Linked DNA regions of Sus scrofa. The protein of the gene in region 1 interacts with the protein of each later gene in a pairwise test. Links are inferred from orthologs where the notes say so. Each region holds a gene or a part of one and is shown on either strand. Other genes may lie near its edges.

Region 1 (3,605 bases):
TGGCCCGGCCTCTGCCGTGTGGGGCTCCCGTGACTGTTCAGGCCAAGAGGGGTCTCCTCCTCCATCCCGGGGTCGCTGGGGCCGGTTCAGGAGGGCCCGGGACCGCTGTCTCTGGACACTGACGGGCTCCCCCACTGTTACACTCGGAGGCAGTTCAGCCGTTCCTCCCCGTGTGCAGGGGCCACATGTGCCAGGCGCAGGGAAGCAATGCCCACATGCCACCCTGCAGGTTGGCGATGCATGTGCCAGTGGTGGGGTGAGGCCCCAGCACAGTGTGCAGCCGACCGCTTTGGAAGCCTTGCGCGGCATTGAACCCCTGGGTTTCAGGGACAGAAACAGCCGAGGCCGTGCATTGTGTCCGTGCAGGTGTGTCCCAGGCTGCCCTTTGCTGTCGCGCCTGGCAAGAGGCCCGCCCTGGAGGGGCTGCTCCTGGAAGCTCTCCTTGACCTGGTGGACAGGTACTGGAGTGGCTGCAGATCGCTGCATGGCAACGAGCTGTTCCTGGGTGAGTCGAGGGCCAGCAGCCCCACTCTGCATGCAGGTGCTCGTGCCCTGCTGGGTTGTGGTCCCCGTGCCTGCGCTGCAGGGACAGTCCTGCTTCTGGGTCCTCCCAGGCAGCAGCCACAGGGAACTTCTCACGGCCGTGGCTCTTGTCTCCCACCTGCTGGCACTCCCTGGGTGTTTGCTTGTCCTTGCTCTGGTTTCGGTGGGGATTGCAGACCTGAGGAAGTTGCTGCTCCAGATCCTCAGAGCATCTGACTGAGTGCAGAGCCCTGGACGTACTGAGGTTTTGCTGCAAATGACTTGCGGCCTAGACCCTCCCAGAGGGGACCTGGGGTTGCTTCCGCCTGGTGCCTGCTCGGGCACACGGGGGACCTGCGTCCAGAGCCAGGGTGTGGGACAGGGAGACGCTTCGTCCCCAGGGCCACCTTCTACAGCCTGGTGCAGCTTCACCTGTCCCAGGAAAGGAGGGACCTGCCAGCTGTCCCCTTTCTAGCAGACCCTGGGCTCCGCCTGGACCTGTCACCTCAGCCCCACCAGAGCCTCCTGAGTGTCTGCTCCGAGTCTCGGCCCCTCAGCTTCTCCTTCTGGAATCAGGGTGCTCTGAGAAGCGGGAGCCCCTGTAAACCCACACCCTCCCAGGGCTGCAGCAGGACTGGTCTGCCTTCCCAGTCGGGGAGCTGCCAGGCTGCGCGGTGCTGGGGAAGAGCGTTCAGACAGACCGTCTCAGCCATGCTGTTCCCGGGCCGCCCTTTTCTCCGGATAGAACAGGTGCTCTGCACCTGCTGGTCATCACCCGGGGCTGGGGCTGAAGAGGCTGATGAGGTCATTTCAGTGGTGTCTGTGTCCCTTTCCAGTCTCCACGCCGGTCCCTGTTTTCGAGGCATGTAGCCCATGTTACTCAAAATGCACTGAGTGTGTTTTGTTTACACGCCTTCTTTCGACGTAAATGCTGTTTTTGATTCTTCCAGCTCAGGCACGACACATTTTGTCATCTCTTCAAGAAGTTACAGCTGCTCAGGACAGTTCAACCACTGTGAGTGAAGAAATTGGCTACCTGACTCTGGAGAATAAGTCTTTGCACAGTCACCTGGGTGAGCTGCAGCGGCAGTGCGGTGCGAAGCTGAGCGAGGTGGTGCTGGAACTTGGCAGCACTCGGAAGGAGATGGTGAGCCCCTCCTGTTTGTTCCTTTTGCTCACCCAAGGGGCAGAGTGAGGGTGGCTTCCCCCGCGGCTGTCGGGTACAGCTCTGGGCCCCCCCTGCCGCCGCCCCCCCGCCCTTCTAGGACCCAGCCCCCTCCCCCCACGCTTTCCCTGCCCCTGGCGCCTCCAGCTGTTCCTCAGAGGCGCTGCCTACCTGCCGCTCCACAACCCCATGTGACAGCGACTGTGGGTGGCAGCATCACCACAGGTCCCAGTCTTGGCTCTCCTGGGTCATCTGCTCTGAGAGGCCAAGCGGGAGAGACGAGAGAGGGTGAGGCTGGGCTTGAGGCGGAGTATCTGTGACCACAGTCTCCCTGGCTCAGGCCCCCAGAGCACTGGGGAGAGAGGTCCCTGTCAGCTGGGTGACCCTGGGCCCCTCCTGCCATCCAGCGGGCATCAGCCCAGCATGGGACCCAAGAGGTCCTGTTGCACCGGGGGAAACTCCGCCGCAAGGTGGCGCCAAAGGGCAGCCAGAGGGCCTCCGCGGTGAGCCCGCTCCTTCCTGGCAGGTCGCCTCGTCCTGTCCTGCGTGACCACCATGGGCCCATCACTCGTAAGTGCCTGTCCTGCGATGGAAAAAAGGTCTCAAGCAACCTAGCTTCACACCTGAGAAACTAGAAAGTAGAAGAGACTAAACTCAGAGTAAGCAGAGGGAAACAAATAATAAAGATCAGAGCAGAAAGAGAGAGTAGAAAAAAATCAACGAAACTGAGCTGGGTTTTGAAAATATACAAAAATCAACAAATCCTTAGACTAAGGTTTGAGAGGAGACTCAGAATCCGAAGTGAAAGGGAGATGTCGCAGTGGGAGCCGCAGAAATAAGAGGGTCGAGGAGTGGTTGTACCCAAGCGTGTCGGAGAGCCTAGAAGAGGGATAAACTCCCGGAGACGTCAGCTGCCAGGACCGTGTCAGGGGGAGCTGACACCTCAGCAGGCCAACAGCGGATTGGCTAGTAAGCCACCCCTTCCCAAAGAAGAGCCAGGAACGGACGGTTTCACGGCCGAACTCCACCACCATGCAGAGAACTGATACTTACCTTCCTAGACGTTTCCCACAAAACAGAGGGAGAGAGAATGCTTTCCGACTCCTCTCCCACAGCCAGTACTGTCCTGATGCCAAAGCCGAAGACACCGCAAGACACGACTGCAGGCCACTATCCCTGCTGGGTGGAGAGATACGATCCCCAACACAAGACAAGTGTGCCGAAGGCAACACATGAAAAAGATGATACGCCACCGCCAAGGGCACTGTCCCCTGGAGTGCCAGCTCGGCTCAGTGGGCACAAACCAGCGCCACGTTAAACACGGGAGGATACAGACCTCACGGTCGGTGCAAAGCATCCGACAAAGTTCAACACGTGCCCACGATTAGAAAAGAAAACCCACTCAAAATCAGTATAAAAAAGTCCCCAACGCAGTAAAGGCCGTTGACGAAGAGCCCTCGGCTTTCCTCGTGGCCAGCGTGCCCCCAGCATCCAGGGCCAGGCAGGGCTGTGCGCTCCTGCAGCTCCTCGGCACGGCGGGCCCGGAGGACCGCTGGCTTCCGCGTGGCTGTCCCAGCTGGTGCTGCGGTACGCGGATGCGGAGCTGCAGGCCTGGAGAGCTGACTGTAAGTTCTGCGCAGGTTTTAAACTGGAGCAGAGTGGGCGCCCCCACCCCCACTCCAGGTTGTTCAGGGGTCAGCTGTCGTAGCAAGAGCAGGCAGACAAGACAAGGTCGAAGCACCCCAGTCGTGAAGAAGTGAGAGGATCTCTCTGTCGATGACGTGGTCATTGATGCGGAGACACTGAAGACGCCGCAGGAGAAAAGGAGAGCAGACAAACCTGGTGAAGGGCCGGTTTCCAAGTCGACATGGCAGGAAGCATTCTTACTTCTTTATATCACCGATTGTTCTGAGAAGGA
Region 2 (4,228 bases), on another chromosome or scaffold:
GCGGGTGCAGCCCTAGAAAAGACAGAAAGACAAAAATAAATAAATAAATAAATAAAAGTAAAAATAAAAAACAAAAACCCAAAACCAAACCAAACAAATATGAACTTGTTGAATACTCTTATCCTTTAAGTAAATATTACTATCAGCAGTTCCATTTTACAGATGATGAAACTGAGCCAAAGAGAAGTCAGGTAACTTCCTCAAGGCCATCTAGGTAGCCAGATGGTGGAGCAGGGATTTGAAGCCAGGTAGTCCAGAATCCACGTTTTTAACTGTATTATGCTTCACTGTGATAGAAATTTTGGAAAATAAGCAGAAACATACACAGGAACTTGTACTAGCACCACTGAGCACACCTTGCTGTAGCCTTCCCGTCTTCCATATGCACATATTATATAGTATACAATATACTTAAAAAGAAAAGAATCATAGGAGTTCCCATCTTGGCTCCGGAGTTAACGAATCTGACAAGCATCCACAAGAATGCAGGTTCAATCCCTGACCTTGCTCAGTGGATTAAGGACCCACTGAACAAGGCCACTTGCCATGAGCTGTGGTAGGTAGGTCGCTGTGGTAGGTAGGTCGCAGATACAGCTCGGATCTTGCGTTGCGGTGGGTTGCTGTGGCGCAGGCCAGGAGCTACAGCTACAATTCGACCCCTAACCTGGGAACCTCCATGTGCCGCGGGGTGCGGCCCTTAAAAAAAAAAATCATATTTTTTAGCTTGGTCTATAACCTTCCTTAAGGCCATTTCTTGTGTCTGTACCCACAGCTTTACACCCATTATTTTTAAAGGGGCCTATCATTTTGTGTTATCGAAACATTATTCATTTAGGCAATGTTCGACATTTAGACTGCTTCCAATTTTTCTCCATGAGAGTTCTGCAAGAGGCAGGGGGGTGATATCCTTTTTTAAAAAACACTTTTTTAACTAAGTCAGCTACAAGCTGCAAAATCAACTTTAAAAACGAAAACCCAAAAGAGACAATCTGCCGCTCGCGTGCAGGATGGGGCAGGACCGAGAAGCAACCGCCGGGTCGCTTCCCGCTTTGCCTTTGTCTGCCCGCCGCGCGAGAATAAGTAGAGCCGGGGCGAGGGACTGCAGAAGCCCGCGGGTACCACTACGCATGCGTGGAAGAGGCGGGCGGGGGAATGAGGGAAGCGGTGCACAAATAAGGTCGAGAGACAGAAGCAGCAAATAGCGCAGAGGCGGGGTTTCCCGTCCCTGCCCAACCTCTAGCTCCGCCCCCCTACCCGGCCCGAGCTTTTTATTGGTCAGATTTGTTTAGCCCCATTGGCCCTAGAGCCAAAGGACCGGGTCTGCCCCAAGATATGCCTGCTTCCTGAGCCGCAGTAAGAATGGCCAATTGCCATGCCGCTTGCAGGCATATGTTTAGGACATACCCGTGGGGCTTGAAGGGGCTTTGTGTGGCAACTAAAGCAACTGAGAGTTCGACGACCAGTTTCGGAGATGCCACCGAAAGGAAAAAGCGCATCGGGAAAAGGGGGGAAAGGTAGAGCAGCCAGAGCAGCTGAGGAGAATGGGGTCGGGTGAAGAGCGAGGGAGCAGACTGGGGATTCCCGGGATCTGGGACGGAGGCAGCGGGTGGCTAGTGACTAGAGCACTGACCAGGAAGTGATATAGTGAGAATTATAGTGATAATTGTTGGAAGCAGTGTGGACTTCTCAGGAAAATTTTTATTTAAAAGCATGGGGGAGTTACCTTGTGGCTCGGCGGGTTAAGAATCAGGAGTTGTCACTACAGCGGCTCGGGTCGCTGCTGTGGCACGTGTTCGATCCTTGGCCTCAGAACTTGCGAATGCCGCGGGGGTGGGGGGCAAAAAATGGGGATTAGATGGTACATAGAAGAGGATTACGAGAAAGTTTGAAATTTTGATTTTGTTTGTTTCTTCACAATGGGCAAAACTTGGGAATGAGGCTGACAGATCCAGTAGGGTTTGAGAGGGAAAGGTACAGAGGCGTGAGACTTAGGAGAAAAACGGTGGATCAGTTATTCTTGGAATAGGAGAGGGTCACAATATGCTTGAGGTCACAGGGAAAGAGATGAAGATGGATGTGATTGTGAAAATTGGAGCCAGAGAGGAGGAGGGGTGGAGTTTCTAGGAGATCAGGTTTAATGACCTCAATATTTTAATAAAGTGGAAGGTAGGGGTAGTTTTTAAGACTCAGGAGGCAGGGACGGAGTAGGGGTCTTGAAGAGAGTGGTAAAGGTTTGAAATTGTCGTTGGGATCATGGGAGAGGGGATGAAACATTAATAAAAGTGTCGCCTTCAGGGCTGAGAGCCTGAATAAGACTGAAGGCCATGACTTTGTAGAGGACATAGCACAGTCATGATTTACTGAGTACCATATAACTGACACAATACAGGACTGAAAAGAGCTAGGTTGTAGCCTTGAGCCAAAGTTAAGATTTTGTTGGACAATGATAACAGAAGAAGAGCAATGTAAGGGAATTACAAGTACCAGTGGAAACGCAGTTCAGATGATCAAGCATGGGATCCAGAGTGGGAAGGGAAGGAGAAGTCTGTTAGTCTAGGGGAACATAGCAGGATAAAGGGATTGAGTGGGAGAGTGGTTTTTGTGGAATTAAAGGGCCTGCGTTGTGGGAATGAGGCATGAGAAAGCTTGGAAGGACAGGAAATTGAGCCAAAGACTGAACCACTAGTTCTGAGTGGCACAGTTCCATCGTGTGCCCCTGGGAACAGGCAGCTTGGAGTAGAAGGCATGGACATTTGGGATGGAGCTCCAGAAGTGCGAGGTTAGGCTGTTGGATGATTCCTCTGCATAGGTGGTAAGGTCATCTAAACTCATGGCAGGAGTGAGGGTGGAATGGAAGCTTGAAGTTGGTGCCAGAGTCCTCAGTCAGAGCCAGTGAGCTGGCCGTCAGAAGATGATAGCATCGAGTAGGGGAGAGGATGGGATAACTGGAAGGCATTATTGTTCTAGTGTCAGTGTACAGCAGACTCACTTAAGAATTTGATGTAATAAAACTCCTGTGGCCGTAACATTCTCCTAGCCATTTGGTGGTCAGAATTTTGGGTTTTCAGTTTGGTTGAACATTTATTGAACAACTGTTGTATGCTAGGCAGTGGAGATCCAAGACAAGTAAGATGGAGAGTCCTGAATAAAACTTTTCAATGGCTCCCTATTACTCCTAGGATCAATTCCAATTTCCTTAATGGGGCCCAAAGACCCGCATACCCTAACCCCCAGCCACCTCCCCTGGGCTCATCTCACCCACTCCCACCTCAGATTTGGCTTCATCCATAGTCTTCTACACATACTGCACTGTTCCCCCACCCTGAAGCGTCTCCCCGCCTTTGTTCTTTCTTTGCCTGGTCAGCTCCTACTCATCCAAGAAAACTTCCCTGACTGGCTAAAATATCCCTCTTTGCTTCCACAGCCACCTGTCTGTAGAGCATACCTCATTCTCCTGAAGAGATCTGCTTTGCATAACTTTATATAACCATCTTCCCAGTAGTATATGAGCTCCCTGAGCAAGGGAGCTTGTTCATCTTTATGTCTTTGCCTGGAACTTAGTTACTTAGGAAATGTTTATTGAACTGAACACTTAATCCAACAATAGTTCTTAGGAACATCAGCCTCCAACAGTAAGTATGCTGCCATCAGTGCAGAAGTTGACATAGTAGCAAAATGACACAGTAGTAAAATGTAAAATGCTGCCAGTGGTTGTTAATCTGAATATCAGTAACTTTTCTTTGGAAGGTATCAATAGGCAATGTAGTAGACTCCAAGAGTCTGGACATGAATGTATTGTTTATCCAAATCTGGATGGTGGGAAATTTGATCTTTAAAATACATTCTTGGAGATTCTACTTATTGGAATTGTGAGTACTCAAATACATGGTTGCAGTGCTTATTAGAAATCTCCCAAGAGCTCAGTGGTTTGCCCTTAGAGGGCAGGATTTCAAAGTGGATGCAAGGAATCCAGGCTGGGCTTTAGGTGCTCCCATTCAACTACAGCACACTTACTTGTGTATCCATTTTCTGTGAAGGGTTTATGTAGGGCACAAATTTCCTGTTTGAAGAGAGGTGAATCATAGATTAATTTAGCTTCATGAAGTAAAGTGTCTACTGAGTTCCCTTTTGAAGCTTAGTGCTATGGTGGAAGTATCAACTCCTGTTATGTTGAACTTCTCTGTAAATAACAAGTTTAAATGAGTACCTGTCATCTCTTCTCTAAAGG

Evidence for each region. The genes of interacting proteins can lie anywhere in the genome.
Region 2: the proteins of CEP72 (region 1) and PIN4 interact in binary tests that used the Homo sapiens proteins (3 or more experiments, as listed by UniProt). The two-hybrid records come from large-scale screens. The link is inferred for Sus scrofa from reciprocal best matches to the Homo sapiens genes CEP72 and PIN4.

Annotation. Positions count from the first base shown.
Region 1 is NC_010458.4:79,563,694-79,567,298, reverse strand, and holds part of CEP72 (centrosomal protein of 72 kDa), read left to right. Parts: intron 1-366; coding exon 367-505; intron 506-1,472; coding exon 1,473-1,669; intron 1,670-3,605. UniProt on the Homo sapiens protein: Involved in the recruitment of key centrosomal proteins to the centrosome.
Region 2 is NC_010461.5:58,068,393-58,072,620, forward strand, and holds the start of PIN4 (peptidyl-prolyl cis-trans isomerase NIMA-interacting 4), read left to right. Parts: upstream 1-1,365; 5' UTR 1,366-1,471; coding exon 1,472-1,514; intron 1,515-4,227; coding exon 4,228-4,228.